3 linked regions of the Drosophila melanogaster genome follow. Changing the gene in region 1 together with any one later gene gives a genetic interaction. Each region holds a gene or a part of one and is shown in the gene's direction. Other genes may lie near its edges.

The links. Genes that interact genetically often act in the same process or in processes that back each other up.
Region 2: of Src42A (region 1) and boss, changing one suppresses a phenotype caused by changing the other (phenotypic suppression), as found in Drosophila melanogaster (one study listed by BioGRID).
Region 3: of Src42A (region 1) and drk, changing one suppresses a phenotype caused by changing the other (phenotypic suppression), as found in Drosophila melanogaster (2 studies listed by BioGRID).

What each region holds. Positions count from the first base shown.
Region 1 is NT_033778.4:5,990,091-5,997,307, forward strand, and holds the start of Src42A (Src oncogene at 42A), read left to right. Parts: upstream 1-2,901; 5' UTR 2,902-3,287; intron 3,288-7,217. UniProt on the Drosophila melanogaster protein: Required directly or indirectly for the phosphorylation of drpr which is necessary for the interaction of drpr with shark and subsequent glial phagocytic activity.
Region 2 is NT_033777.3:25,959,257-25,967,448, forward strand, and holds boss (bride of sevenless), read left to right. Parts: upstream 1-2,737; 5' UTR 2,738-2,787; intron 2,788-4,185; 5' UTR 4,186-4,307; coding exon 4,308-4,359; intron 4,360-4,662; coding exon 4,663-5,133; intron 5,134-5,192; coding exon 5,193-5,642; intron 5,643-5,763; coding exon 5,764-7,223; intron 7,224-7,284; coding exon 7,285-7,542; 3' UTR 7,543-7,692; downstream 7,693-8,192. Other genes in the region: CG14540 (uncharacterized protein), read left to right, coding at 220-1,158, 1,216-1,339, 1,407-2,185. UniProt on the Drosophila melanogaster protein: Acts as a ligand for sevenless tyrosine-kinase receptor during eye development.
Region 3 is NT_033778.4:13,499,842-13,505,994, reverse strand, and holds the start of drk (downstream of receptor kinase), read left to right. Parts: upstream 1-3,153; 5' UTR 3,154-3,304; exon of another isoform or gene 3,305-4,070; 5' UTR 4,071-4,104; coding exon 4,105-4,182; exon of another isoform or gene 4,183-4,521; intron 4,522-4,986; exon of another isoform or gene 4,987-5,374; intron 5,375-6,153. Other genes in the region: mars, read right to left, coding at 137-1,395, 1,453-2,959.

The sequences.
Region 1 (7,217 bases):
CCATGCGTAAATGAATATTTATGATTTTCTGTACTAATGAAATCTCCCCGATTGCCACACGAATGTTAAAGCCCCACAGTTTTTCCATCGGAAGGCGCTAACCAATCTTCTCGAGAGTATTTCTGTTCAGCTTTGAATGTGGGTCAAAGAGAAATAAGTTGAAAGAGTGAGCAGGAAGGTGCAGGGGATTGTGTCTTTATGGTGGTTAAAACGCAGTGACGTCAATGATCACCGATGATTTTAAAGCGTTTACACAGAATACGGCAGAGACGACGAGGCCAGCTCTTGATTTAATTCAAGTGAATTTTTCAGGGGAAATACCTGGACACTCGGTGAATTAACTTCTTGCTTATGCGCTCTTCTTGCTTAACTTGACTTCCGTCAATGGGAAAGTCCGAGCGAGTCGAGCTATTTGACAAAGTGCTAAATGGTTGAACCGAACATCTTAAATTGACTATTACGTAGCTTTAAACGTCGCCAATAATAAAAACGTCTAAATTAGAGCCACCCACAAACACCGAAATCCATAAAACCAATTTTTATTCGTTCCCAGTTCAGATCGTAAATCACTCGCAAAGAGAAGCACATCAAAATCAGCAAACTCACTTAAATACACAAATATATTTTTTTTTTTGCTTTGAGCATTAAGCAATCGCCAGGCGTAGCAATTGAACTCAAGCCTAACTCGAATTTAAAATTTATAATGGAACAACTTTGATTTTGAGTCACTTGTTGCTTTAAAAAGCAGTATCTGTCATATGACGTTTGGATTCTCGTGCGTTTTTTTTTGCATTTAATTTGCCTCGTCTTCCGACACGGAAGACCGCACCTGACGCTATGAAGCTCAACGCAGATCCGCTCTGCTGCTCTCTTGTTTGTTGTTAGCGTCAAATTGCCACAGTGAAAATGATCGATTTATGAGTTTTTCGTTTTTGGCTAGTTCCAATGTCAGAGGAGCATTATTCTGTATACGCATATTGAGTTTCGGTTAATTAAAATGTTCAATAATATGATTGTTGAGAGCGATTTGAGAAGACTCAAATAAATATTTTAACAATTAAAGAAAAGTTATGATACCACAGTTTGCAAATAAATGGGTCCGATTTTCCAAATAATTATAATTTCAGCTCATATGCAGCGAATTTAGTATTTTTTGAACCTCCGTATTCATTATTCATTAATAATTCAAGCCATCCTTTATTTTACTCCCGTTGCCACTATAGGCTGCAATTGTTATTGAACATGACATCAGAAAATGTCGTTGAACCCACGAAGAGAAGGCAATTGTTTTAGAGAGCCACATGCAAGAGCCGTGTCGGCATTTATTCATATTTCCCTGTGTTCATGCGTGGTGAAGTTCCGATTTAGTTGAGCGTTCTTCTTTCGGCTCAGGTGAAGTGTGTGTGTGTGTAGACAAATCATTCGAGTTTGTGGCAAGTCAATAATACTCAATAGAAGGCAATTGTTTTAATAATTTGTCAGTAGCTAAAAAAAAACATAAGTGACAACAGACTCGGTCGTCGCTCTCCAGGAAGGTCGAACGACTACATTTTAATTGACTCAGTGATATAGTGTTAATTTTTAGCTGATACGTCCGATAAAGACTACATATACTAACGGTGAACGTGTTGATGTTATAGGAATTTGAATTAGCGTAAAATTGCACAGGAAGCAAATATTCACCTAGTCTGGCTGGGCATTAATTGACTCGTAATTTACGTAGAGGTAAATACACACATTTCAATCAGATTAGGACAGTAGAAGGAGACGAAATCGCATTTTGTCGATACAGTTTGGTGTGTGGCTAGATTTGATTTCAGTTATACGACCTGTAAGCTGTGACTTTGTGCTGTAATATTGTAAAAGTTAATTTAAAATGAAAAAAGAATATACTGCTAAGTTAGATAACCGTATACTTCAGTGATATTGGCCATACTGCCTAACGTTTTTATAAAAGTGTCCTTTTATTTATTTATTTTGCATTACACAACCCGTTAAAGTTAACATTTAACACTTTCTGTTTACTTTTTATTTCCAGGTAAGTCCCAATATTTCAGTATTTAAGGGTTTTGTGGTCAGGGAAACGGAGAATCTGAGCCATCGACGTAAACACATGTGTTTATATGTGCACATGAATTTCTATTTACATAAGGGAGCTCAGGAACACTCATATTTGGTCAAGTGTTAAATCAAAGTGACTAACGACTATGTTTATAGATTTTGCCCTCCGACTTTTCGCAAAATATCCCCAGGTATTCGTTAATATATTCTTAATATTAAATGGTATGTCCAGGCGCGAGTCCCCACTGCGAGTCCCTTCTGGATTGGATACTAGCCATTAGTATTCCCACGATGTAGACTCTAATATTTTCTATTTCAGCAATGTTCCATAGCATACCTTATCAATGACGAGTTCAATGGCGTTCACAAGAACCCAAGCGGAGACATTTAGAAACAAATAATTTGATTTCCAGTGACGCGACAGTGCTGAGTTATTTTGGTTACGTGAACAAATTAATACAACCTGACATTTTGTCAGTAACAGCGACGAGTTAATTGTTTTCAACTCGATTTGATCTTTGCAATCAACGCACTTTGTGACTAATTGTTGTCGTAATTACAAAACTGTGCAGTTTATCTCGGAGCATCTTAAGAGAGAGGCACTTGGAGACGAAGAGCGAGACCACTCTTCGACGAGCCATTGGACTTCTGGGCCAAGATAAAAGAGACTAAGCACACAAAGATGGATCGAAGAGCGAGAGAGCGGGAACGGTTGGCCAACACGCGGGCAGCGAGCTTGGCTCAAATGGCACACACATAGATGCCAAGGCGGCGGGTGCGAGTGTGTCGGTGCGGTGGCAAGCGGTTAAAACCTTTCTATAAAAATTTCATAAACGTATCAGTTGTCTGCGAAGCGGTGCACAAAACGGACGTGTAAACGGAAGCCGCACGAAAACGGCTCGGAAATCGGAATAGCGCCCGTACACGCAGCACATAGGAAATCGAATCCGAATCTGAGTTAAATGCCTTAATCGAATTTGGCCAAAGCTCGCCTACCGCGCTTACAAGTTTTTTCGTTCACGGGCCGATGAAATCTATATAATCTATTATCCACAAGCCACCACAGAGCCACTAGATGCACTGTGCGGCGCATGCGCGACCTGTTTGTGTTGTTGGCATACTTCTAACAGTCAGTGTTTTCTTTGTTCAAAAGTGCCTCAAGTAAAACCCCACTTTGATATGGATAAGTGGTAACAAGAGCAGCAGTAGCAGCAAAACTGGAAAAGGTACAAGCCCAGGGAAGCTGCAGTGTGCGGAACATTCCTCTGGTGGATCCGAACTCAGAAAAAGATGGGAACAGAACTTTCTATTTTCTTTACTGTTTCGCGTGTGTTTCGCTGGTCATGCAAACATATTTTCTTTGCCTCGGCGCATGCCGCTGGAATTAGAACGGTGTATTCCGTGCGGAATACAAAGTCGAGCTTATTTCGTAAGAGAATTCCTGCGAATCTGGTTATGCAATGCCTGACAGCCCACAAAGTCGTCCTCAAGTTGTTGCGAACTTTATCGTTTACTATGTGCTAAAATGCACAACTGGCTTGCCAAACGGGTGATACATTTTTGTAAGTGCTAAAGCGCTCAGTTCCGTGCACATGAACTTTCTTATACACTGCTGTGCACTTCCACGGCGTTTTTTTTTTTCAGACACCATACCAGGCCTCAGAAATCATATCAATTTCGACTTACGTGACTTGGGCAAACTGCGCCATTTCGCACATATTCTTTGCGTTTAGGCTAAGATTTAAGTTGGCTCTCAGGCTTGGAATTAGCGGAGTTTAGGGCCTTCTTTTATATCGCTTTTCAGCCTTCTCTTGCTGCACTGTGCCGTGGTCGTAAATTTCCTGCGTCATGAGTCATGCCTGTCAGTCGGAGTCGCTTAACAACAGCAGTGGTAGCAGAAAAAAGATAAAGATACAGATACAAAATATTCAGTTGAAAAACACATGAAAATTGCTTTCATGGTATTGAGTGTGGAGCTCCAGATGAGCTAAAGAGAGGCAAAAAAGCTCATTGTTTATGGTAGCTGGCTTCGTGGTCCGCTCTTTGTTGTTGGCATTCCGAGCTGTAACCTCTGATTGTGATCCCTTCGAATTACTCCTTTCAGTTCATTGGTTCTCTCTTCAGCTCCTGCCACTTAAGCTATTAACTGTGGACCGTGCACTTTCCCAAAAACCTCTTATACATACGCTGACGATACTTTGTTTTCAGTTAGAATAAATAAATACAGTAAGGGAATAAAATAAATGTGGTTTTTAAAGCATATATGTGCAATCTCGGAGTCACGTTCCTACTGGAATATTTGCGTCGTCCTTGCACTTCTCTTTTTTGAGTAACGGGTATTTGTTAGTCAAAGAACTCGCTTTGGTGTTTTCTCTTGTTTTTTTAAGAGTGTTGGCGCCACAAAATATTTGATGAATGTGAAGGACGTTCAATTTCTTTTAGTTTCTCTCTTAAAAAAACAATTTTTTTATTAAATTAAGTACACGAATGTCGCGGATATTAATATATATGAAAAGTTCGACATATCGAATAAATTCGAATTCCATGAGTGGAAGGGAACTAAGTCTCGTCACCATTGTGCAATGACCTAAATCACGGTCATAAAATCAAAGCCAAACTTTTTTTTACCATAAGTTTTGTTGTGTTGGTTGAGGTTGTCGGTCAATGGCTATGTTTTTGCTGGCCAAATAGCTTACTTTTGATTTCCACATTAATGGAGCGCAGCAAGCGAATCACAATGTTATTTGCATTAAATTTTTTTGGAGTCACGGAGAAAGTACGCACAAAAGCTATAAATTAGACGGCATCACACAGCTTCTTAATTCCTATCGCTCTCTTGCAATGATTCACTTTTTTTTGGCTACGCAACGTAGACTCGCTCACAGATTTGGCTGAAAACCATCATGTCGAATGGCAACAGAAAGAGTTAGTGTTTGATTTTCGAGGTTTACTAGTTGTGGATTGGCGCACTAGAAGGAAATAACAAAAAAGCAGACAAACATAAAAAACGTTAAACCGGTTCAATTTGGGTCGTAGTACCTTTGAGTGCAATTGTTACCTTTCAGAAACAACGACAACAAAGACTTCGCCAATCGCACTCCATTCCACTCGCTCTGCAGCTCATTATACCCGTTATTATGTTCGTCTTGTTCAGTTTTCTTGGCACGCGTTACCGTAAAAAAAAAAAACTCCCACACAAGCAACCGAAAACACATCGAGCGATATTTTGTAATGACCATGCTTCGAATCGGTTACCATAGGTCAGTCAACAAGTTCGGTGTGAGTTGAGCTTTTATTCAGGGATAAACGCACCGTAGTCTTTTTGTTCATACTCGGTTAGTAACAAAAACTATACAAATCTTTAAAACACTCGAACAATTTTGGTCTTTTTGTACAACTTAACGTATGTAAGAATGTGTAAAATATTGTAAAACACAACGATTTTCTACTAATGTTTTTAAAACATTTTAAAGATATTTTTAAAATATCATATACCGATTCCTCTGAAGTCCACCTACGGCTGTCTAATTCGCTAGATGTTGACTGTAAAAGGTACAGGGTTTTAAAATTGTTTCAATAAAGCAAAATGTTCCCGGATATGTTTCGATCAAGAATATATATATATATATACATTTTATATATACTTTTCAACGAATCTAATTTCCGCTTTTTATCTTCAACTACAGGAATAAAAATATAATTTCTTGGTACACGACAGTATTAGTCCTTGACGTCCGACTCGTGACAAAAACTGCTAAAAGATATAGATTACTATATGCATCAGAGCTTTCAATAGCCTTTCGAAAACAAGACGGGTTCAACTGGTTTTATACAACGTCGTTGCTGTTATGGTTATTGTTGGTGTTTATCGTTAAATCAGCTGTTTTATTTTAAAGTTATTGTTTAGATATTGTTGATATCAGATATATAGCACACATAAATGTGAAGTTTATTGTTTAAGAAACAAGAGTATTAAAGTGTTGGAGTCATCGTTTGTTAGTTAAGTGACTTGAATGTCTGCTATCCCTTACTTTGTTAGCAAATTGCAAACGGATTGCATGTAATATTCACGAAGGTTTAGAGTTCATTTAATTGATTATTAATGAGAATCCTTAAAGTTTTTCGGCATGGGCATTCGCGTAGGGATGTGTACGATTTAAAATAAACTTTTACTTAGCAGGTTTTCACAAGAATCTGCATCTCACATCTGTTGCGCATTTAATCGAAGACAATGGAAATTTCTTTCTTTAAAAAAGGATATATTTTGTATATATCTAAAAAAAAAAATTTTAAGTGTATGAAACATAAAAAAAAGAGTAAAGTTCACAGAGTAAAGGCTCGTATAGTGGTGATGATTAAGAATATACGTGCACACATATTTCGTGGATACGAAAAAGAAGTACGCCATGGGTTTATATAGTAAACCCCAATGCTTGATGTCTGTTTGAAGTTCAACTAAGAAAAGGTGGTCTTAATTTACTTAATACTGGCAAAAACTCTGCGACTTTCTGATATCTTGTTGTTGAATCACTTAAGGTACCTTTTTCCTCAGTTTGTTTTGCGTTTTTCTGTTGACATTGACATTTGCGCATTCTGACAGTATTGCGACAATATACCTACAATTCAGAACAAGCGCACTTGTAGATAGCAAGATCGAAAGTGATTTGTCTGCACGATGTCCAGCATCATGACATCCATTGGTTTGAATCGATGACTTGACCACTTTGTCTCAAGAGTTCATTTTGTCGGCTCAGCATCAATCTGTTGCCTTTCCTTCGAGAAAAGAGAGTTAACCTTAAAGGGGAGATGGACAATATTATCTTTGCTGTGCATACAAATAACTAAAACTAAATGATCAGCTGAAAGACAGCTTCAGACACTGCACAGAATTTTTCTACGGATCTCGCAAGGGTCGTCAAGTAAATAACCGCGTGATCTGACGATCAATTCCATCGCATGCTGCATACAATATATACGCAATGGAAGATTTTTTCCCCGTTACACCTTCGAAGTTAAAAAATGGGATCCAAAAAGTGGTTGCTAATATCTCAACCAGATATTTTATTTGGTTATACTTGGGTATAAAATGGACATATTGTTCTTTCTTTGTTTATTTTTCGTAAATTTTCCCGACAATTGATTAGTGTAATCATTGC
Region 2 (8,192 bases), on another chromosome or scaffold:
TTCACACGAGTAATATTTATCCAATCTATCTATCCAGTAGGCTGGTGTTATAACATTCACTATCTTTCTATATCCCTCATTCATTTTAGCTAAATCATCCAAAGAACATAAATAGATGTAAAATATATCAAATACAGTTTATACATTATTGTGCTTTTGCGTTTATTGGTGCAACTCGAGGCCAACGAAAGTTTGTTTCGGTGAGTAAAGAGCCTTTGGATGAAGATGGTGCGCCCAATTCGTCGCAAGGGAATCGAGGAGGTCTATGGTTCCAAAATGGATTCCTTGCATCCGGTAAAGTCGGTAGCGATATCCCATGCAGGTGTGACCAAGAAAACAGCAAGGGCTGAGAGATCGGGTCCAGGCGGTGCAACTGGCGGTGGAGGAACCATTAGCTCCCGACAAGTCGATGCTCGCACTCAGCGCAGTTTTGTCACCGAAAATGATTACTACATCACCACCAATCTGCCGTTGACGGCGGCCAATCTGCGAAATGCCCCCGGTTCGATGGCGCAGCCATCAATATCGCAAATGATTCCCGGCCATGTCCAGCCATCTCCATATAACGCCATGCCCTCGAGGCGAAACCAAATGGCCAATAAGGCCAGTGCTCGTCAGGCGCCGATGAACAAGGTGCCGCATTTTAGCCCGGCCGAAGGCACGGTAAACCCTAATGGCTATGGCATGTCCAAGTCGAAGGAGACATACCGAATGAAGCACCGCGAAAAGGGCAATACCCAGAGGAACGACTATCCAATGGATGACAACGACGACTACTCCGATAAGGAACTAATGGTGCCCCAGCAGGGAAACATGGGAAATATGCGCCGGCACAATCCGCACTCTCATGCCCATCAAATGCAAATGCAGTTGCAATCCGGAGCAATGCAGCATCCGCCGCAACACCAGCTGCACCAGCAGCAGCAGATGACTACTCACAACCACCTCAAGCATCAGCAACAGCAGCGCCTCCAGCATTCGCAACCGCATCAGCATCAGCATCAGCATCCGCATCCGCATCAGAAGCAGATGCGTGGGCGACAGCCTGTTCCGGCGAGCAAGGTGCACGTGAGTACCGCCGATGACGATGAAGATAAGGAGGAAGATCCTGAGGAGTTCTTTGACCTGATCCGCCAGACTGTCAAAACGGCCGTTGGCGTGAGTTTCGCATAAGTTCCTTAGTTGATTAGTTAATACACTATGCACTTTCTTTAGAACACCATATCCGATGCTCTGGCAAAGAACTTTCGCGATCTGAGCCACAAAATCGAAAGGTTCTCGGGCGAGTTGAAGCAGACAAACGATAACCTGGATAAGCTGCAGGAACAAGTCATTAGCAGTGAGTTTATTTACTTTCAGTGTTTATTTGGTATTTATAATATGTAACTATTTTTTGGCATCTGCAGAGGTAATTTACTTCGGTGAGGAAAATTCGCGACACTTTCGGTACTTGTGCATGAAATCCGAGTACGATAAAATGTTTTACCAGCATCAATCGCTGATGAATGGAAAGCCCACTCAGGAAATGCTGAGTCTTTCGAAGGCGAACTTAGAAGCAGCGGCCTCAGTCAGTCAGAATCTGACACAGAAACCGTCGCATAGTTTAAAACAACAACCAGGAAAAGTGATTAGGAATCAAAGCAAAATGCCTATTAGCGCCAAAAAAGACCATAACGAGTCCCTAATGAACTCCAGTGCCTATCGTAGCATCTGCAAAGCTCAGCAGCCAGTTCTTGCTGCACAAAAGTCGTCATCGGAGCAAAGTTTAGTTGTAAAATCATCTGATGTGGGCGTGCAAGAAGTCCTGGATAATATCCAGCGCTACTGCAATCAGGTGAAGGATATGAATGGTCAGATGTCGGCTGAACTGCCCAGTCTCGAGGACATCTTGATACCCAAGAAAAATTCAAACGGTGGACTTTGTCAGCCAGCAGCCATGAGCTCTAGGACCCTCGCAGGTAGTCAGAAAAATAAAAAGGTTGACGACACGGAGATCGAAACGCCCAACGATAGTACGGATGAGACCTACACCGAAGTGGATGACTTCCAGCTCTCCTCGGACATCTCGACCGGCAGCGAGGACGATGACTGTGGCCTCAAGTATCCAAGTGGAGCAACTACGAGCCGGCCCAACCGCAAATTAAATCGAAGGGGAGCCAACCAAGGCGCCGGAGATGGTCAGTAAAGCCACTGGAGTGAAGATAAAGGAGCATTCAAACTGAAGGGGAACCCATTCCTAGAAATCGCCTTAATACTTATTTAAATATTACTTTTGGCATGACCTAAATTATTTCTGATAATGTAAAGCCAAAAAAAATTGGATCAAATGTTTCGACAAATTAACTATAACTTATCGTACCTGGCGTACATGTATTCATTTAATTCATTTTTAGGATCACAATTAAACTATGTTCAAAATTTAAAACTGGCTTTCATATTCTTATTTATGTTATGTGAACAGCTTACATTGAGCATAAAACTGACCTATTTGGCCCTTGGCAATCCCGATTCTCGCTGAGTAATGCCCATTGGTGTCACTAATAAGTGCATATTATATTGACTGCAAAGCAAGAATCAACTGAGCTGGCCAAAACAAGGCATCACCCCCATCCGGCAACCGGGTAAAACTGAGTCGAGTGGAAAATAAGGCCTAAGACCACCCCCACTAGCCCTAACCTGCAGCTGCATTTTTATGGGCTTACGAGTGTCGCGGCTCTGCAAGTTCTTCCGCTAGTTCAGTTGGCCAAAACAGTTTAAACGTGGACGTGGTCCGTCGGTAAGATATTGGTGCGTCTATTCAAAGTAAAATGAGTATTTAAATAAAAAGCCAAACAGCTTAATAAGGCCATATAGTTGCTTTTTGGGCAATTAAAGTTAAACCCCCTAAAGGAATTGAGCTCTAAATTAAACTTATGCAACGTGGCCAAATGAAAATGCTTACTTTTCAACTGATGTTGCGTTTGACGTGAATTAAAAGTGTTATGCAAAGCCCCAAAACCCGGAAAAGTGCCATACGAATGTCAAAGCCCAAGGCACGAGTGTCGGTTCTGTTTTCAAGGATATTCCACTGAACAGTTTGCATTGGATAGCCATAAAATAAAATAAAACATTTTGATAAACCAACGAGGATAGCAAACATTGTGCAAGCTATCCACAAGTGCCGAACTGTAAGACTGGCCAAATTGCAATTACTGATCGGCACCTTTGACAGGCCACCCTATTCCACCCTGAAACCCGAAACCCTTTTGCCCAGCAAGTTGGCTAATTGCAATGACCAATATTTGAACTGGCTTCGGGGTGTACATATTTATTTGTATAATTATGGGAAATTGTACACTCGACGTGGAAAGCACTCAATTTCGTGAGTGACTGTTTGAGCCAATAACCATAACAACCAGCGAGTGCCGGGCCTCAGCCAAGTTAGTCAAAACAAAACGGCCAAAACAGGTGCAAAACATTGCCACATCAGTGTTCCGCCTTCGGTTTTCCAGGGGGTGGGTTCGAAAACGGAAAAACTAAAATAAAATAAACTGAAATAGAGACAAAAAAAAAATCGAATAGAACATAATTGCATTGTGCGGGCAACTGCAATGCTGCACCCGTTAACACAGGGGCTTACCAAATCAAATTGGTTGTTCGTGGGCCAACAATAAATATATATGTACGGTTTGAGTGCTGCGTACATCACTGGACAAATATAAAACGAGAAACGTTTAATTGACCCTAAAATCACTGAGGCGTTCAATTTGTGTTCCCTTGTTGTTTTTTCTTTGTTTTTTTTTTTTGCCAATTGCTGTTGCCCAAAACTATTGTGGCTCTGACTGTCAGTGGGTCTAGTGCGTGAATCTGTGCAATAAGTGTGTGCAGTGCCATAAATTCCAGAATTCGGCTTCCACAAAAAACCTCTATTGATTTTCCCGAAGTGAGAGAATATGCGAAACAGAAATTTTTTCCACCGTATTACTTTGCACTGATAGTGGGCAAAATCACGAAGAAACAGACATGGAAAAGTGGAAACTATGCCAAGCCAACAAAGTCTGTGTTAGTGTGACAATTTTTAATGCGATTAAAGTGCAGCACTCTCCACGCAGTCGGCAAAATGGTTGAAGTGGCCGGCAAAAAATAAAAAATACAATTCTGCACACTGGCTAATATCCAACTTACCATTTTCTTTCTTCCTTCTAGCTATCAAAATAAAAATAAAATGATATCAATTATCAGTACATGTTGAAGGAAAGACTGCTGCATTGCTTAATTATCAACGGACATTTTTTGTATTTAATTGTAAAACCTTTAAAACTTTAGAAATGAAGGTCATGGACGCTTTGCAATCTGGACGGAGAAAGCCATTACCAGTGGGTGAGTGCTGAGTAAATGTCGTAAGGCAGAAGTGAAGTGCAATGGAATGAATGGCAACTTGAGGGGATTTCTTTTTCCGGGAATATTTCAAGACCTGTATTTTTCTCAAAATGCCATTCAAGCTTGAGTTTGTGTAGAAAATTCCATTGCAAATATGGTTTAAGTGAATTCCTTTATTGAGTAATTCAATCAATTAACTAGTCAATCAACCATGCTAACCAGAACAAAGTTACTTTAAATTTAAGGACGACGATATTTTCCATCTTATACGAATAAGATTTAATTCATTGTTGTCCTCTGCAGCTCTTCTATGCATCCTAGTCACTGTGTTCTGCGTCTTGGAGTGCCATGGAGCTGACCTGACATCACCCACCAAGAAGTCCGCTCCCCTTCGAATAACCAAACCACAGCCCACAAGTCAGCAGGCCAAGCCCATCAGTATTACCACAAGGGCCCCAACAACGGTGGCATCAACCACCGATGATGAAGTCTCCAGCTCCGTCGATGGTCAGCTGGCCCCGCTCATCTCATCCACAACCGAGGGACCCAGCAGTGGAACAACTGCCAGCTTAGTGCCGGAAATATGTCTCAATGGTCTGCAGTTGACGGTCAATAGTGCGGATGAGGGAACGGTTATACGGAAGCAGGAGGAGTTTGTCAAGATACTCGAAGGAGATGTGGTGCTCAGTGTCTTGACCAAGGACCCCGACTCCGCGTTGTTCGTAATCAATCGTGTGAACCAGGCGAATCTTATAATGGCAGACTTTGAAATTGGTTTGTAAAATTCCGCTATTTATATGCACCTAAATCAAATCCTTCTTATTGAATTCCAGGAATTCGCGCCATCAGCATCGACAACGCCAGCTTGGCAGAGAACTTGCTTATTCAAGAAGTTCAGTTTCTGCAGCAGTGCACGACGTACTCGATGGGCATATTCGTTGACTGGGAGCTGTACAAACAACTGGAGTCTGTTATCAAGGACTTGGAATACAATATCTGGCCAATACCGGGAACGCGGGCGCACCTCTTTCCCAAAGTTGCGCACTTGCTGCATCAAATGCCTTGGGGCGAAAAAATCGCATCCGTGGAAATAGCAACCGAAACGCTGGAGATGTACAATGAATTCATGGAAGCCGCTCGCCAGGAGCACATGTGCCTCATGCACTTCAAAAGTGACGATAATGTTTACATAATGTTTGGCAATAAGCTAGCTAGTCACTTCAAGGAAAACGGCACTCTGTTTTCCGTGCCCACCGATAGAACGGACGATGAATTTCTGGCAGGTGGGTAATAACTACAACGAACAGGATTACTAAAGTTGTGGGTCCTTTTGATTTATTGTTTAAGTTAAGGATTAAGACTGATACATTTTACTTACGCATTAATTTCTTCTTTTCTTTTTAGACTTACCAAACAGAGCTTTTGTCCTAATGGAAAACGAAATTGACCTGAGCACCGCCGTTGAATTGGACGCCACGCCCACCGCTTTGGACGAGATCCTGATCGGGAAGAGTGTGTTACCATCGCGAGTCCTGAGCTTTGCCGGCTCCATAATCGACCTGATGAACTGGCTGCGCGGATCCCTGTCCAAGCACTGTAAGCGTGGTGAGGAGCACGACTTGTATGTGCTGGAGAGCTGTTTCAACTTCCTGAACTTCATCGAGGACTGGCGAACCTCGGAGTACCGACAAGCCCATGATACGGCTGAGATCCTGTCGCTGCTGCTGATGCGCAAGTTGGGCACCGCCATGAACTTTCAGATGTACCAGAAGAAAGTGTTGACGCTGGACAAGATCACAGGTGAATCGCGTACCGAACTGCGCGAGATTGCGTCGCAGAACTTTGTGACCAATGTGACCACGTACTATCACTATAATCGGGACAATCACACCAGTTTGGAGCTGAAGACCAAGTTTGGTCAGGTGTTCAACTGCCAGTACAGTGCTGGTGACAATAGGAGATATCCATTCCTTTTCGATGGTGAATCCGTTATGTTCTGGCGCATCAAGATGGACACATGGGTGGCAACTGGGCTGACGGCTGCTATCCTGGGCCTGATTGCCACGCTCGCCATCCTGGTGTTCATTGTGGTGCGCATCTCGTTGGGCGATGTCTTCGAGGGAAATCCGACCACCTCGATTCTCCTTCTACTCTCCCTCATCTTAGTGTTTTGCTCCTTTGTGCCCTATTCGATTGAATACGTGGGTGAGCAGCGCAATTCGCATGTGACCTTCGAGGATGCCCAGACTCTGAATACCCTGTGCGCGGTGAGGGTGTTCATCATGACTCTGGTCTACTGTTTTGTTTTTTCCCTGCTCCTCTGTCGCGCCGTGATGTTGGCTTCAATTGGTTCCGAAGGTGGCTTCCTATCCCATGTGAATGGATATATTCAGGCAGTGATTTGCGCCTTTAGTGTTGTGGCCCAAGTGGGCATGTCCGTGCAACTTCTGGTGGTGATGCACGTCGCCTCGGAGACTGTGTCCTGTGAGAATATTTACTATGGTCGATGGTTGTGGGGACTGTTGGCCTACGACTTTGCTCTACTGTGCTGTGTGGGCGCCTTGATACCCTCTATATACAGATCCCAACGAAACTATCGCGAGGGAATACTCATTGTCATTGGATCGGTTTTAATTATGGTAATTTGGGTGGCCTGGATAGCGCTATCCTTATTCGGGGACGAGTGGAGGGATGCGGCCATTCCATTGGGATTGCAGGCCTCTGGTTGGGCGGTACTGGTGGGCATTCTGATACCACGCACCTTCCTCATCGTAAGGGGTATCGAGCGGTCGGATATTGCCCAAGCTCTGCCTTCACTCACTTCGCTGGCTTTTGCCCAGAACAATCAATACTCCTCGGAACAGGTGGGTTCCTAGAAAATTAGCAAGAAACTTTTCTGATTAACTTTAAAATCTATTCTTACAGAGTGTTTACGAGTGCGTGAATCCCGCCATGCGCCATTGTTCCCAGGATGAGGTGAACCACCAGTCGCCTAGTGAGATTCCCACGTTACCCCTTCGAGGAGGTGGCCCACGTCGCCAGCAGTTCTTTGCCAATCTCCGCCAGGCCAATGCCAACATTAATCCACAACGTCCTCCACCTCGACCCCAGCAGAGTCCCTCCCGATCCTCGGTGTCCTCGCTGCCGCCCTCGCCCGATCACAACAAGATCACCCGGTTTTAGCCCACGAGTGTACAATGTGGCACTTCTAGTCAACGCTCCCAGTACGTGAATTCAGCTAAGAACTGTCCAACATTTTGAATCACTGACGAACCAAGAACTTATTGAAGTTGATAAAATAAATAATAAATCGATACAAATTAATATAATCACAAGAACCTTTTTTCTGCCCACAATCTGAAGCGAGCCGCTCCTGTAATTTTTTCATCGCAACAGATATTTTTATCAGAACGGTTTGTGCGCCTGCTAAATGAAAGCTGCGAAAGCTCAGCGACTTTCTCCTCTTGCTCCTGCTTAATCGGCCTATAACTCTAATTGGCTGGGCAAACACGTGACAGGGCGGCAAACAGCGAAAGCTAGACGAGCTATAGGAAAACTCATCTAAGGCGAAACAACGACGGCAATCACAGGACCCGATATCCTTGTGCGTCACGCGACATTGGACGCCCATTTGTTTGGCCTTGGAGGAGTGGGTGTGTGGAAGGGGGCCCCAGGAGGACGCTGACGTCAGGGTGACACTGGCCGGGGCAAGAACATTGACCATGGTACATGGACAAATGCGCAACAAGATATGCTATCAAGCCGCCACAAAGGCCGGCAAAAAAAAAGCGAGGTTGCCACAAACTACCGACTACACGCGACCATTTCAAATG
Region 3 (6,153 bases), 7.5 Mb from region 1:
GAACATTTAAAACGCCAAATGTAATTTTCAACATCTTAATAAATTAACACTTAATGGCATCCGCAAAAAAATATTAAACTAAGAAGATAAAAGTATAAACAATTCCACAACGGACAATTACTGTCAATAGACAAAACTACATAAACTCGGAGGAGGGACGCAGATTCACCCGCCGATTGCGCAGCGTGTACGTGCGAGGAGTTGCTTCATTCTCCTGATTGGAATCCCTTCCCGGATTCTGTTCCAGGGATCCGCTTTCCGTGGAGGCTTCCAGCGACATGTCCTCCTCGCAGTCCTCCAACTTGTCGGCGCCCACTGTCTCGTCGTTGCTAATGTTTCCCTCCTCGTAGGTGAACTGGAATCGTCGTACGCTCTTCTTGGCGCTGAAGAGCACGCCACGGTTCTGGCGTTTCGTGGTGCCGGGCGTCTTGAGGATGGAGGTGCGCGGCTTAGGCGGCGGCGTCTTGGCAGCGTTCTGCTCGGCGGCCGCAAGAATCGCTGATTTCAGGAGCGCATTTGGCGCAATCGACTGACGGCCCTCGCCGGTGGACATGCGGAGTACTGTGCGGGCGGGCGAAAAGGATCGGCGGTTGCGAACTACGATTACTCGCGGCGAACTGTGGCGCGAGGACGTGGCGGGCAGGCCATCCTCCAGCGTTGGCTCCTCCACCTTGGTCTTCTTCATGTTGGCATGGGCTTTGCGGAGGAACTGCTGCAGATTGCTGCTCGGCTTGGCCTTCGATTTGATCTTCATGTTGCGACTTATCTTGGGCTTGGGCTTCGGCTGTTTGGGTTCCTCGGCCACGGCATCCGGATCCAGCCAGTCGTTGGCCTTCCAACGTTTCAGGTTATCGAAACGCTTGTCCACGTTCTCGCTCTGCAGGCGCAGCATGTCCCACCAGCCCTCCAGATCCTCAGCCTGCACCGGTTTCGAATCCTCACTGCCATCGTTTGGCTGACTGTTCTTGCCGGTCGCTCCAGCCTCGCAACGATCGATCAGGCCGCTGAACTGCATCATCTTTTTTGTGGTCAGCAGACGTGTTTGACCGATGGTCACGTTGATCATGTCAATGCCGCCCGTTTCCTGCAGCCGTGCCTCATTCTCCTTGCTGTACGCCTCCCATTCAGCGCAAAGCGCTTGGAGGCGCGTGATCTCGTTTTCCAGCTGCAGTCGGAAGTACAGAACCGATTCAATGGCACGGCGAACTTCCAAGGGCGATTCCTCATTGGACAGGTAGAAGCTATTGCGTTTCTCCTTCTCACAGCGCGAGTTCACCTTTCCCCGCGAGACACTAACAAACGGACTGAGATAGTTGGGCATTCCATTGGATTCGCGACGTGGCGGTGTCTTTGTACCCTCTGGCACCAAAGTGGAATCTCCAGTGTCTTCTTTAACTGAAAGGAAAATGTGAGTTTGAGTTTAAGATTGGAGAAGGCGTATCCCAAACTCACCCGTCGTCTGCTGAGGATCCAAGATGAGCGAGTCCTCCGCCGGCGAATTCGCCACTGAGTAACGCGTAAAGTCGAACTTTTTCTTTGCCACCGGACCTGACGCCTCTTTCTTACCTTCCGGCAGCAACTGCCTTTTCACCGAACTTTCTCCTTCAGCTTTGACCGGTGCCACCGGGCTCAACAAGATGGTGTCGCCAAACGCCTCCAAAAGATGACCGCTGCTATTGTTCGACTTGCACTGCGTTGATGTGGCCTGGTCGATAAAGGGATTATGGATATCGTCTAGCGGCGTGAGAGGCGGTATATCTAGCGTGGCTGCGTGCAGCAACTCGGCTTTGAGCTGAGGAAGCTTTCGCACGTTGTCCTGAAGCCTCGTGTACTGGCTCTTTATCTTGGTGGCCTTCATTCGTATGGAGTGACTTGCTGCCTTGCTGGTCGCTCCAGCTGTGTCCTTGAACTTGGCCGCGGCACCACCTCCGCCACGTATAGGCTGTGGTTTCACGACATTCGCCCGTCGTGTCACTGGTGCCTTGTTTCCTAAAGGTTTCTCGAACGGCTTGGACAACACATTGGGCAGTCTAGCTGTCCGTGGCGCTGGCGGCTCAGGTAATCTTGGCTTTGTGCTGACCACTGGTGGCTGTTGTCGTATGCCTGGCGTTTTCGCTTTCGTGACTGTCGCTGGGGTGGGTCTGGGTATGGTGGTAGTGATCTTTTTCGCTTCAATCCCAGGCTGCCTTACACTGGTAGTTTGCTTCGTTGTGTTGGGAATGGGTCGTGCAGCTGCTTTTTGCCTGGCCAAGGCCACTGGATTGTTGTTCTGACGAATTGCAGGCACTATTTTTGTTGCAGAAGCAGCTGATTTATGCCTGGCCAAGGCGGAAGATGCAGCCACGGTATTGGATGACGGAGGAGCTGCTGCTGACGTTGGCTTGGGTATTGAAGGTTTAATCGGTTCTGCGGCTTTTCCCTTGCCCGTCGGATTGGCAATCATGTAGAGAGAACACCGCTTGGGAGGCTGGAACATGGGAGCCGCCTCCTTCTGCTTTGCAGAAGCCAGATTATCGGGAACCCGAAATGTTTGTGATTTGGGCAAGGCCTTTGATTGTTTTACTGTCGGCACATTGATGGCTGCGCCTCGACGTTTCTGGTCTTGCTGCTTATGCTCCTTGGTCTTGGCTATCTTCCACTCCATGTAGCGTTGTAAGTAGAGCTTCTGGCGGGAGACCTTCGGGTTGGATTCCTTCAGCAGTTCTGCGGGCTTCGTGTCCAGCCGCTCCGGACTCTCCAGTTTGGGTGCCACATTTTCCTGGGTCAGAGCAGCTTGGGCCGCCGCCAATTGCTTTATTTTGACGGGCGTCGGGCTCACGCTGATGATGCGGTTCTGATAAAAACAATCCTCTCGTTTTTTGGCGCGCGCCGCCTGCAACCGATCCCTGTTCTCCTGGCAGTGATTGCGCGGACTCAGCACCAGCGATTGCTCCTTGTACAGTTCCTTGTGGCGCTGCATGGCGACTGCTGTGACGGATGGGCGAGTCAAACTGAAGTGTCCGGTTGGGAATGAAACGTAATGCTGACTTTTCCGGCGAAGCGTCTCCTGTTTTGATTTTTAAAATGGCGAAGCGTCTTGCGGTGTGACCAGGTGAAGGAAAACTACGAAAGCCCTGCGGTATGCCTCTCCCACAGTGTTGTGTTCAGTATATTTTCTTGGAATAATAAAGCGACCCGGCCACGGTCACGCTGCTATGAAAATAAAAGTGAATTACAAATTTAGCAGTAGTAATATGTTAGCCAAACCGCTCCCGCGCCTAATTAGTGTCGCTTAAGCTTGCAGCCACCCTAGCCCTTTGAAATTGTAAGCCCGGCGGCCTCTTTGCACGTGCCAGAGACTCGAAAATAGTTAGCCGCAACTTACGCATATAGAAATATAAGCGCCGCGTGTGTGTGTGTGTGTGTGTTTATTGGGGTTACAAAAAATAAAACAAACAACAACGTCACCGCGGCAGCATTGCCAACAGCAAGCACCCACGCCCTAGATTGCCAAATGTTAATTGTGTTCTAAGCGACACATTTCATATTATTTAAGGCAAATTACTTCGCATAACAACAAGTAATAGCCAAACATCGTCTAATTGCTTTTGCGGTACCTGCTTTTCCCCGAAATTCCAAATCGCAAGCTGCTGGCAACGCTGCCACGCTCACGCACACACACCCACACAGTGGCCGCCGTGGAGAGAGCGGCTCGTGTCTGTGTTCATTCTCTGTTGCTGCTCCGCCTGGGAATGTCGTCGTCGTCGGTGTATTTTTAATCGCTTTCTTCCCTTGCCTTCGCACAAGATATATTATTATTAACCGAACTGAGAAAAGCGCACTGCCGAATATCCATGATTTATCGTTTATATAATGTGCGCTAACTAATCGCGGATTCGTCTCGTTTCGTTTTCATTTCCACAGCACTGAGTAGTGAGTGAGAGAGAAATTCAAAGAGAGTTAGAGAGAAAGAGCAGAGAACGAGCGTGTGTGTCTGTGCCTCTGTGTGTGCGTGTGTGTGGTGCATCAAGGCTGATAGAACTAAATCCAAAACTACAATTGCAACTAAATTTTAAAACAAACTCCGAAAGCGTTTTCTAACTGCGCACAAAACAACACAGCAAAATGGAAGCGATTGCCAAACACGATTTCTCTGCGACGGCTGACGACGAGCTGAGTTTTCGCAAAACTCAGATTCTAAAGGTGAGTGCTGTTCCAAAATCATCAATTCCCACCTCAAATCATAATATCTGCATTTATTCATAGACTTCACACTGAATGGGGGCACGCAAGGGTGTAAGGGGGTGCACAGGGGGACGTGGCAGGTCCTGCATGCATAATCCGCTGCGATGCAGCTGCCGCCGTCCAGGTCGTTGCCTTAACCCACATCCTAGGTTCAATCCCCAGACAGATTTTGTTACTAAATCGCGACCAAACAGACAGCAGTCGCAAAAGCTGGCTAAAGAGTTTCAAAAGGTGCATTCGCAGAAGGCAACACGAAAGGATTACGACTCATTAGCCACCGCAGCCCGAATACTCTTACTAGAACGAAAAGATTCAGTCAAATATATTCCACTATCAGTACAAAATCCTTGTGAAGCATCACATACTGAAATATTGTACATTCTACTCTACATTTTTTCATTTCTCAACTGCACTTCAAATCTATCAAGACCATATTTTTGACCCCATTTAATCTGCATATAGTTGTGATTAGCATTACAAAGTAAGTTTAAAAAATGATGTGAGGAGGGGGTTTCTAAAGCTATAAACATGCATATATGATTTAATCTATATACTATACTTTGCAAATCTAGCATTTTTCACTGTGTTTCCTTGAATGAACTTATTTATTGTTAGCATTCCTATAGTATATATACTATTTCAACTTTCCTTATTCGTTTTCTTCCGAATGCTTAGAAAAACAATTCCAACAGTTTGTAGTGATGATATATTCGATGCCCCCTTTGACTTTGCGGAACTTTGTGGGGGACATCCGATGCTTACCCGTGTTGCTTGTATTCGCTGGCTTTTCTGGCCAAGAAAAAGGCTGCTGGCAGGCTGCGATTCGATCTTTTTCGCCGCCTTGCTTCCTTCCAGGTGTTTGTGTTTGTGTTGGCTCACTGGCTCGATGGCTGGCTGGCTGGCTGTCCTAGGCCAAACCCTTTGTTTTGGCTGGCGAATTTTCCGGTTTCTTGTTGCCAGGGCGCGATGTAAGCTGATTTTCGTTGCTGTGTGTCTACCTTGTCGTAGGTTAGTCACAGCAGGAACCCAGGCCCGTGGCAGGTTTTCTCCCTTTTTGTGCCTCTTTTTTTTGCGCCTCTTTTCCATATGCCGCCGCTGCATTTGCAGCATTTGTTGCTGCTGCTGCCGCTGCTGCTGATTGATGGTGTCAATGACTCGCCGAAGAGGCTTCTTTATCGCCGCCCGAAGGTCAAGTGTGTGCGCTGCTCCCGTCCATTAGAGGGGCTTCTACGCCGTAGATGAGCCCTCTGTCCAGCTGCACGGTCTTATCAATGGGTAAACAATCCGCACTGATAGTCATAGTTCGTTTAATAGCCCATAGTTCTGGGCTCCATTGATGCGGGGGATAAATAGAAATACACGATTATCTCGCATTGGAGATATGTATGTTACGCATATCTGTTCGAACTCCCAGCGCATTTGTTTGTTTGCCAGCGATTAGTCACTTCTCGATAGCCTTATCTGAAAAGATGCCCCAATCCAGCAAACATACAGCAGGCATAGAAGGCGATAGAGAGAGGAGCGCTGTGAATCATCAAACATTTCATTGGGGTTCGTTCTCTTTCCAGAAAACTGGTTTACAGGTCAGCGTATTTCTTGGATATTTGGAGCTCCATTTTCCAAAAAAAAAAATGCCTCCAATTCTAACGGCCTTGTTGTGTGGGCACCAAAAGTGGCCACGTTTTATCATAACAATGTGAAACACACGAAATGGGATTCTGTGCTCAACTTTCGCTTGTCGCGAAAACAGCGAAAAGTGAACGTTCGTGTTGCTTTGACACTTTTTTCAGCGTCGGATTTCCGAAACGACAATAGAATTTTTTCTCTAGTAATTACATAAGCATACGAGTATAAACAATTGATAATAACAATCATGGCCACTACGTGCCTGCCTTCCGAAAGCGCCGCTAAATATTTATGCATTATCCA